Caenorhabditis elegans: one gene and its partner. The protein of the gene in region 1 interacts with the protein of each later gene in a pairwise test. Each region holds a gene or a part of one and is shown on either strand. Other genes may lie near its edges.

Region 1 (7,506 bases):
TTGTTCCCTTTTTTTGGTTTCTAGACACTAATTACGGTATTAATTGGTGAAGTTTTTAAAGATCCTACTTGTTATTTAGTTAAGATTTTCAAATAAAAGCTCTGTTGAATTTGAATAGCCATTGAATTCACGTAATTTTGGGTTAAAAATTTTTTTTTTCAATTTTCAGTTGTTCAAAAAAAACTTTTACGGGTTTTTGATCCGATATTCAAACCTTTTTGATTTCGAAAAATTTTGGCGCCAAATTTGAAATTTTATTTTAAGAAAAACATAGTCTGGAAATTCAAATTTTAATGGTTTTTAAGTTTCGGTGGGAAATTTAAGTTAAATTTCCGGCAAATAGGCAAAACTGCCGTAATTAAAAATTTCCGACAATTCGGCAAATTTGCTGGAATATTTCAATTCCGGCAAGTTGCCGTTTTGCCGGAAAAAAATATTCTAAAAAATAAGTTTTCTTCCAAATTTTTTTTAAACCTCGTATAATCGATTTTTCTTCAAAATATCCAAATTCAAAAAAAAAATACAAGTCTTTTATTGTAAAGGCATTCGGTGTGTGTAAGGGAGCAAAAAAAACGAATATTTGGGTGGGGGTTTAAGCACCAAAAAAGAGGGTAATTTTGGACAAAAAAGTCCAAAAAAAAGTACAAAAAACAAAAAATTATTGCCATAAAAAGTATCGATCCATAAAAAAAGTGGGGAATTAAATTATGACGGTTTTGAGTGGGGAGGGGTGTAAAATGCAAAGGATGATTTTCAGAGATTTTTGCGAGAAAAAAAAATTATTATGATTTTCGAATTGTATGTAAAAGAACAAGTGAAATTAGATGCATATAGAAATAATAAAAAAATTTCCAAACAAAAAAATTTGCGTAATAAAATCAAGGATAGAGACAGGAAATAACACACAAAGACAGGAAAAAAAATCAATAAATCGATAATAAAACTTATCTGATTTCTCGATATAAAATAATAATTATTTTAATTATTAAAACCTTTTTTCACTAATAAATTGGGTGGGGCTTTTGGTGGGTCTGTTTGAGATAAAAATTGCACGCGTATCGGAGAGTACAGGAATATTTGAGGTCTAAAAAGGGGGAAAGCAACGAAAAAAAAAAAAACTTTTCACGGAGCCGAGACCATTTGCTTCGTGGGCGACGAGTTTTTGCTCAGCGGGCCAGACAGCGCTTCACTAATTGAGGTATTCAGGGAGGTGTTGAATTCAAGGGCGTTGCTCACTTCCATGCATGCTGGATTTCTCTGAAAATTTTTTTCCAAAAAAGTTTTGGCTCGAAATTCAATTTTTTTTCCGTAAAATTTTGGCGCAGAACTCAAAATTCGTTATAAAAAAAATTGGCGCTAAACTTGAATTTATTTTCTAAAAAAATTTGGCGCGAAATTCTAAATTTTTAGTCCGAACCAAATTAATTCTCAAAAAATTTTGGGGCGAAATTCAAATTTTTAAACATTTGGCGCTAGATTCAAATTTCTTCAAAAAAATTATAGTAAAATTCAAAATTTTTCCAAAAATAAATTTTTATTTTTATTTCCAAAAATTCAAATTTAATTTTTGTTCTAAAAATTTTTCTGGCGCGAAATTCAATTTTTTTTTCGGTTTTTTCCAACATTCAACAAAAAAAATGGAAATTCGTATTACCTGTCTATGCAATCGAAGACCATTTTGTGTTGTATAATTGGTACCGCATCCTCTACACTGATAGGCGTCCGGATTGGCATGAATCTTCTGATGGAGCATTAGAGCATGCTTTTGGGTGTACGAGGCCTTGCATTTGTCACACTGAAAAATATTGGATGTTGGTTGAGGCTTCAAGACTATAAACTACAATTAAAAAAAAAATGTTGAAAATTGTGATTGAATTGAAGCAAATTAAAGAAAGCGAATTTGAAATAATTTGTTTTTTAATTTGAAAATCTTCGATTTTTTATAGGAGGAATAAGCTTAAGCCTACGCCTAAGTCGGAGCCTAAGTCTGAGTGTAAGCCTGAAGCCCAAGCCTAAACCTAAGCCTAAACCTAAGCTTAAGCCTAAGTCTAATCGTAAGCCTAAGCCTAAGTGTAAGCCTGAAGCCTAAGCCTAAACTCAAGCCTAAGCTGTACACTTAGTCTAAACCTGAGACAAAGCCTCACATTAAAAATACTCACATTAAAACGCATTCCAATATGCGTAACAAAATGTCGATGCACTGATCCTTTCTCCTTGAACACCTTATTACATCCATCCATCGGACAAATATATCCAGCACCATTTTCCGACTTCGGAACCTTCATCGGTGTGCTCTTTCGCTTGCGAGCCGCCGCTTTCTGGTCAGCTGACGAGGTATTCGCATCGAGCACATTCCCGTTCATCGACTCGGCTAAAAGTGATTCGAACATTGCCAGCGAGTCAAGTGAGGCTGTTGGATCGGCTGGTGGTGATGGTTGGGATGATGACGTGGATCCGTCATTTTCACTGGAGCCCGCGTCGAGGATCGCATTGCCGGCTTGTTGGTTGGCGAACAGAATCTGGAAATTGTAAAGTTACGACTGCAAATATTTCGTTTTAATAATTTTATTAATTTTAGACTACAAACCAGAATTGGGTGGCAATTGCCGTTCGGCAAATCGGCAAATTGCCGGTTTGCCAATTTGCCGGAAATTACAATTCCGGCAATTTGCCGATTTGCCGGAAAAATCGTTTTCCGGCCACCCCTGCTACAGGCTACAGGATATGTATATCCCTCAACCTGATCCAGTTTTCGCAAATTTCGTTCATATTGATAATCAACTCTGTAGTTTGTAGTGCCCCTGGACTTTTAACCTCAGACTACAAACTACACAACCAGATGCTCTTTGACCTGTAGGATGTCGGCCGCCATTGCAATCAGCAGTATTTTCAGTTTTCTCAACAAATTAACATAATTTCCATTCGATCTGATTTGTAATTAAAACGTACGGTAATACGAGTTAATTACAGTACCACCGTCCAGATAATGTCAAGGAATGTATCTATGTTAGAGCGGCAAATGAGCTGTGAAAAATGAGATTTGCCACACGTCATTAGGGACTACAAACTACAATTTTTTTCAGCCTCAACTAACAGGGTAACTCTTTTTTGGTTGGTTTCGGGATTTTTTCCAAAAGGCGGAATTTTTTCCAAAATTGAATGAAATCTATAATTTTCAGTACAAAATGGAGCCATAAAACAAGTGCGGAGTCAATTTGAGACTCCGCCCACTTCTTGGTTTTTTCGCCATTTTGCACCGAATTTTCTCTCAAATTCTAGGTCTCCTTCACGGAGTTTGTCAAAATTTTTTAGAAATTCAAAAATTCTTACAACCAAGAAATAGGGGCGGAGCCTAATTTTTAGAATTTCCGCGTCTTGGTCCCGCCCATTTCTTGGCTTTTTACCGTTTCTGACGAAATTTTTGCGTTTTAAGCGGGGAATTTTTCCATAATTTTCAAGGAAAACCTAGAAAATTCAGTTTTCATTAAAATGGTTCCTCCTACAAATAAGAGCTGTAACTTGACAGGTAGGCAAAATGTCTAGTTTGTAGTTAATAAACATTAAAAAGCGCGGTTCAAGTCTGGTATTTTGCCGGTTTGCCGATTTGCCGGTTTGCCGATATAAATTTCTCAAATAAATCCCTACCTGCAAAAAGCTGGTCAGCACCGCATTCTGCTCCTTATCCTCCTCATTCTCTTCCGATGCAGGCGTGACTGTAGGCGTCTGGCCTAGAAGCGATGCCTGAAGGAATTGATCGAGCAGAGCAGTGTCTTGGAGTGGATTCTCCAGTTTTTCACTCAATTCCAGCTTTGTATTCGACGTGGACGTTGTCGTCGACAGGATCGACTTCATCACAAGATCATGCTCTTCTTCCTCTTCCTGAGGGGATTTCGAGGAGCTGGTGGTGTTGGAGTTGCTGGAGCCGTTCGTTCCTGCCACAATCGCATTGATCACATCGGCTACATCCGTCGGTACCATCATCGTCTGATTCGTCTCATCATCCTCGGCGCTAGTGTGTACTGAACTGCTCACGGATCGGATGCTTCGTGATTCGATGGACGAGCACTCGAGCTCTTCGTCATCGTGATCGCCGCCGGCGGCAGACGGTTTTCGGCGCGGTGGCTCTTCTGATGATCTGTGTGATACGGTAGTCGTTGTGCTTGTCGCACTGTCATGACAATCCGAGAGAAGGCCGACAGATGTTGCGCCACATGTTGTACATTTCTGTAATTAGAAGAGACAATGAAATTAATGAGGCACTGGGGATGTGTGGAAGACGGAGGGGAGGGATAATTCGATTTGGCTCAAGTTAACATTATACTTGAGTGAGGCTAAGACTACAAACTACAAGAATTTTGTAGTTTGTAGTGTTTCTAAAAATTTTCGTTGTAGTTCGTAGTCCAAATATTGAAGAAAATAGAAGTCGTGTTGATTTCGGTGAGGCTAACACTACTACAAACTACAAACTTTAGCAGAATCTCAAAGATCTGTGTAGTTTGTAGTTCTTGTGTTGAGGTCTAGACTACAAACTACAAAACTTGTTCAGCCTCTTTGTTTGTAAACTTTGTAGTTTATAGTGTCTATGTTGAGGAATAAATATCCTAGAAATTTCGATTTTTTACATTTTGAAGCCAGAGCCATTTAATGTAGTTTGTAGTATCTATACTCCATACTACAAACTACAAAGGACTTAGACTACAAACTACGAAATCAAGTTGTTGAAAATTTCGTTAAAGTTTTGCGATTTAATTCAATTTTTAGCTTCAACTTTTCAAATTATATTTTCAAGCTAAATTTGTAGTTTGCAGTCACCGGATGCTAAACTACAAACTATAATGTTCAGACTACAAACTACACACACACAATTTTGAGCATTCTTGCACAATTTTTTTCAAATGCTCACCATTTTCCCGTTGAGCACATCATTCATCGCTTTATTGCTCTCGATGCATCGTTCCAGTGCTCCGGTGATTTTGACAAGTGTGCATATTACGGTAGTGCTGTTGGAGGGAGTCTGAAAATTGAAAAATTGGTAAATGGCTGAAATTTTAGAAAAAGCGGTGATTTTTTAGTTAGAAGAATTTTTTTAATTAAAAAAAAAACCAAAAAAATGGAGGAGCGAGTGACTACAAACTACAAAGCTTCGTTAGCCCAACTTTTGTATGGTTGAGGCTAATAAAAGTTGTAGTTTGTAGTCCATTTTCATCCTTTTTTCTCCATTTTTTCAGTGATTTGGACTAAAATTTTATGAGAAAACCGAAAAACTGTCTTAAAAACGTCAATTTTTGATCGTTTTTCTTCAAATTTTCGGGTAGCCGCACCTGTTCCTGAACATAATCTGTCCCATTGCTCTTCATACCGACCATCACACGTTTCAGACATGTGACAGCCTGCATAAGATCCTCGCTAACACGTTCCGACGTCGTATCCGGTCCCATTTGTTCTTGATGATGGTGATGGTGGTGTAGGTGGTGGTTGATGGTATTCTAGTCTAATTTTTGGCTGAAAATTGGGAAAAATTAGCCGGATTTTTGATTTTAAGGGAGGTTTTTAGAAAAAAAATCGGTGGAAAAAGGTGGAAAAATGCACGGAATTAGAGAAATGGCAGGGAAGTATTGAAAATTTGAATTTTTCAAAAATTGAGTTTTTGGGAGCAAAATTCCAACATAAAAATTTCGGAGAAAGTGTAATTTCTGCGGAAATTCGAAAAAAAATTACAAATTTTAGAGAAATTTTTTAGTGAAAAAATGCGTTTCGAAACAAATTTCTAGCCTAAAAATTATAGAAATAGCTCAAAATTAATGGAAAAATTCGATTTTTGGAAGGGAAATTACTGGAAAATCGGGAGCAGAAAATTTGGAAAATCACGTGTTGCCAGGCCGTCCCATTACGGTTTGATCTACAAAAAATGCGGGTTTTTTTTTGCTCAAAAAATGTGACATTAGCACGTTCTTAACCATGCAATTTCTTGTAGATCAACGTAGATCAAACCGAAAGGGACAGCCTGAAACCACGTGAAAAATGCAAAATAAAATTGGGAAATTACGGGAAAAATGTAGTGAGAAAAAATGAAGAATTTAGCCGCAAAAAATCAAATTTCTATTCAAATTTCGAGAATTTCAAGCGGAGAAAAAATTGAAAAACAGTGCGAAAACTGTGGAAAATAGTGGAAATTAAGTGAAAATGTAGAGAAGAACCCAGAATTAAGCTGGAAAAATCAATTTTCTAGTCAAAACCCAAAAATTTCAAGATGAAAACAGCAATCTGTAATGGGAAATGTGGAAAATAAAGGTCGAAAACTGGGAGGTAAGCTAATTTTTTTTCCTAAAACAGCACAATATGTCAGGATAGGTAAATCAATTTTGAATTGAAAAATTCTTTAAAAAAATACATTCCGAGCTTATAAAAACCCTAATTTTCAGCTCAAACTATCAGAAAATCCGTAGATTATTCAAAATAGGTATGTTTGGACCTCTACAAAACCTACAATTTTCTCACTGAATAGGGGGGTCCGAACTGAATGGGTGAAGGTCAAGTACCTCTGAAAAGCGAAAAAGGACCCAGTATTACTCAGAGAACATATGCCAAATTTCTTGAAATTCATCACAAACTGCGAGAGAGAGAGATTGCAGAGACACCAGCCCCCCGCGCGTTCAAGGACGACACACAATTTTTCTCTGCAATTCAGGCGCAGCTGAATTCAATGATGACACTCTCCTACTCACGGATGGATAGACGGACGGGACGGTGCCCGGCGCCCACCGACACTCCCGTTTTTCTGTACGGGTGACCTTCAAGGTGGCCCCCACCACCACACCGTCCGTTTTTAGAGAGACAACGACATCACCGAATTACCAACACACACACGTTTTTAGTGTATGTGTCTAAAATTTCCGAGAAGATGTCGAAAGATTCGAGGGAGATTTTTTGCACATTGGTTGAGGCTAACTAGTTTTGTAGTTTGTAGTCACTCAGATGCAAATCGTCACGGTAGGTTTGCTACCTGTAACTGATGCTTCAGAAAAATTCCGACAAGATTAGGCTAACCAAACTTAATAGTTTGTACCAGGGGCTTCCGGTTTTCGGCAAATCGGCAAATTGGTAAAATTGCCGGAATTGAAAATTTCCGGCAAATCAGCAAACCGGCAAATTGCCGCATACCCCAAACTTTGTAGTTTGTAGCCCAAATACCGGATTCTCGAGTTGTCTAAAAGTAAAAATGGTTGAGGCCAACAAACATTGCAGTTTGTAGTCTCGGCTTCACCAAAAACAGGGTCTCAGCTAGGTGTCTAGTAATTCCCAGTAGAAACTTTGGTTGAGGTTTGCTCAAAAATTGAGTTTCTCAAAACCTCACGCAACTACAGAAGTCGATGCTGGAATCGAGCTCAAATGAAAATTGGTTGAGGCTCAAAAAATTTGTAGTTTTTGTAGTGCTCTTTTTCGGCGCCAATTTCATCATTCCTCCTTAAAGCTGCTTAATCCCCCATTCCCCCCCAGCCCATCATC
Region 2 (3,471 bases), on another chromosome or scaffold:
ACGGTACCCGGTCTCGACACGACCAGTTTTTGTAAATGCGGTGTGCGCCTTTGAAGAGTACTGTATTTTCAAAAACTCTGGTTTTTTTATCGATATTTCATACCTTACGCAGCAACCCGAGTTTAAAGTTACAGTACTCATTAAAGGCACACACTTGCATTCAACAAAAATGTGTCGTGTCAGGACCGGGAACCACAATTTCAAAAGTTCAAATTTTAAAAAATTTCAGCACAATTTCCCAGCCAGAATTCACCAGCTTAACCTCCTCTCTGCCCAAAGATGATTTTTATACGAACATCGTATTCCAGTGCTATAATCAATCATTTTATCACATTCGAGACGCCGGCCTTCTTTCTGCAGAATCCACGTGTGTAAATGCTTTTGATTGTGAGCTTTCACAACGAGAAGCGATGCCGTGTACCCATTCAGATGCCACGTATCACTCCGGGCCGCCCATGTTTCCAATCACATTCCATTGGGCGAGTGATGCATTCTTTAGTGATGAGATTGGATGCTATCAGTAATTGGATCTTTTTTTTAATCAAAATAATGTATTAAAGCTTATCGAAAATTGAAAATGTAAATTAACATAACATGAAAATCAAAAAGTGAGCAGTGAGGTAGAACTATAAACATAATGAAGACACTCGAACATCAACGATTACTCAATTTCCGGCTTGATGCGCTTTTCTGGGATCATGGCTGGCTCGGCTGGCTGGATCTGAAAAATTATTTTTTGAAAATTTATCTTTAAAAAAAATGTTTTAATTAGCTACCTGCTGAGCTTTCTTGTAGCTCTGAAGCGCCGTCGCAAGAGCATTCGCACTTTCGATGATTATGACCCATGTGTCGACTTCAGTGATCTGCTGATCGGTGAAAAAATTTCTCTGTAGAATTGTGTCGACTGCATTGTTGAAGAATCTTTTGTACTCGAGAGCTTCTTCATTGGGCTCTGGCTCTGGCTCTGGCTCCAGCTTCAGCTCCAGCTCCGGTTGGGGCGATCCTGAAGCGTCGCGGGAAGATGAGGACGTTGTTGAATTGGAAGTCGACGGCGACAGAGACTTGTTCAAAAGACGATTAAGCTTGAAGCCGGCTCTTTGAATTGGCGATTTCAGCAGTGATCCCGGTGAATTGCCGGATTTCGCAATCGGGTTGGCGTCTCCTGGAGCTCCGGTTTCCTGTATGGCCTTTGCGTGTTCGGTGAGGGCTTTTTTGTTGGAAAACGTCCAGTTACAGCATCCGCAGGTGTATACTTGACCCAAGTAGTGCTCATTTCTCATGTGATCACGGACGGTCTCCTTCAGGTAGAGCTTACGGGCGCACAGCATGCAGGTGTACTCGTCGCTATGCACCAGTTTACGATGGCGGTTGAGAGAAGCGCCGTGCTTGAAGTTTTGGCCGCAGGACAAGCAGAGGAAATCGCCTGAAAAATGGAAAAATTAATGTTTTTTTTTAATTACAAAAAAAAATAAAATAAAACTCACCTCTGAGATCCGGCCGCTTAAGCTCGCTTTCTTCTTTGCGAAGCAGTGACGATTTTTCAGCGAATTCCGTTTCGAAGCGGTCGATAAGGGGCTTGTGATCGGAAGTATCCATGAAGCTGATTTTCTGAAAGAAGAGGACATTTTGAAGAAAAATTTTAGAATTTTACATCAATTTACACTCAAAATAATAAAACTGCGTTGCGTGTACGCCAAAATAGGCCCCGCCTTTTTCTCGTTCACTCACGGGGAAAAGGCAAAAAGCGGCTGGTGTAGCCAATATCAGCAGCCGACATCATTCGAGGTCCGCGCACCACACTATTTTTCTCACTGTTGGCGTGGCGAGCTGTCCCCCCCCTCCCATATTTTTGCCTTTTTCCCGTGAGTGGACGATTAAAAGGCGGGGCCTATTTGGTCGTACACGCAACGCAGTTTTATTATTTTGAGTGTAGAAGAAAAAAGAATTTTTTTACTGACCTACAAAATTTTTGCAAGGATAGTAGACTAAAAAAGCTTCTCACTAATCACATTAATCATATAATTAATAAATAATATTTTTAAACGAAAAAAATCTGTAAAATTAATTAATTCAGGGTCGACGTCGTTTAAAAGTGTTACTTCTTTGTTTCTACGCTTGTAAAGTAGGTTTTCAATCGATTATTTGAATTTATCTTAATTTTTTCTTTATATTTCAAAAAAAAAATACACTGAAAACATGAAAAATCGGTGAAAAATGAGTGAAAATAACAATAAATATTTAATTTTAAATAAAAATAAAAACGTGCAAGCGCGCTCCATCGAACGAATTCTCTTGGCGGTAATTCAAATTGCAGTTCGGGCAAAACTGAGATTTTTCCAATTTTCAAAAAGTCATATAAAATTTAGAAAAAAAAATTGAATTTTTTTACTATGATATTTGGCCATTGTGACACTATAGGCATGTTTTAAAGCAATTTTCCCACTGGCGCTACTTTGTGATTTGATTTATTTCGACATGAAAAAAAAGGAATACAAAACCGGTACAGTAAGTTACTGCAATTTCTTCATTTCAAGACCCATAAATATGCTCAGCCATATTAGCAACTTTATGCACCAGAAGCTTCTCCAGCTCCCTATCCAGCTCGGTTATAGTGAAGTTGTCGCCGTAAATCCAACCATTTCCGATACTATTTCTGACGGAGGTCATTCGGTAGTGTCTGAAAATGTCAGTGTCGATTTACGCGGCTCGTGTACTCCTCGAGGACAAGTGTGCGTTTTTTGGCAAAAATTTCCTGATTTTTGGCCATTTTCGGTAATTTTTTCTACAGAATTTCCGCCTAAAACACTAAAAAATTAGAAAATTCAGTCTAAAATGCTCACTATTTTCAAAAATAATACACAAAAATCGGCAAGAATTTCAGTAAAAATTCAAAAATCTCTGCAAAAAACAAATGCACACTTCTCCTCGAGAAGTACACGAGCTGCTGCTTGAATTTACATATGACCGTGTTATTATACACACGCGAAACTTTGTGATTTTTGAGCTAAAAATACGATATCTGGTCTCGACACGATAATTTGTATTTTCGAAGAGGTGTGCGCCTTTAAGGAGTACTGTACGTTGGTGGGCTCTTCATAGTTCTTCGATAAAAAATATTATTCTGCAGAAAACAATCGAAAGAAAATTCCACTGCAACAAAAGTTTGCAATTACAGTACCCATTAAAGGCACACACCTTTTAGTATTAAACAAAACATTTTCGTGTCGAGACCGAGTACCATATTTTGGTCCAAAAATCGCAAACTTTCACGTATGTGTAAAACCTACCTAAACCCGGCAGTCTCCCTGGGAACATTTTTCACGATAACGCCGGGATACTGTAGATGAGTGTGATGGTAGGTTTGTACGGCGACCATTTCCGGGCGGTATATACTTTTTGAAGATTCCCAGATTTGAGTTCTAGTAGTGTTCCGGAATTTCAGCGCCTCCAGGTTTTCGATGGTGTCTTGCA

What was found.
Region 2: the proteins of ztf-6 (region 1) and ztf-28 interact in a two-hybrid assay, tested with the Caenorhabditis elegans proteins (one large-scale study listed by BioGRID).

What each region holds. Positions count from the first base shown.
Region 1 is NC_003279.8:11,204,918-11,212,423, reverse strand, and holds ztf-6 (Zinc finger protein ztf-6), read right to left. Parts: upstream 5,503-7,506; 5' UTR 5,439-5,502; coding exon 5,322-5,438; intron 5,015-5,321; coding exon 4,904-5,014; intron 4,225-4,903; coding exon 3,646-4,224; intron 2,520-3,645; coding exon 2,160-2,519; intron 1,796-2,159; coding exon 1,655-1,795; intron 1,258-1,654; coding exon 1,123-1,257; 3' UTR 519-1,122; downstream 1-518. UniProt on the Caenorhabditis elegans protein: Probable transcription factor, involved in regulation of dopamine neuron lineage specification. May play a role in maintaining robustness of the Wnt/beta-catenin asymmetry pathway.
Region 2 is NC_003283.11:2,088,806-2,092,276, reverse strand, and holds ztf-28 (C2H2-type domain-containing protein), read right to left. Parts: upstream 1,609-3,471; 5' UTR 1,597-1,608; coding exon 1,485-1,596; intron 1,424-1,484; coding exon 777-1,423; intron 722-776; coding exon 662-721; 3' UTR 537-661; downstream 1-536. Other genes in the region: gtnt-26 (Glycosyltransferase family 92 protein), read left to right, coding at 230-524; gtnt-27 (Glycosyltransferase family 92 protein), read right to left, coding at 2,530-2,677, 3,288-3,471.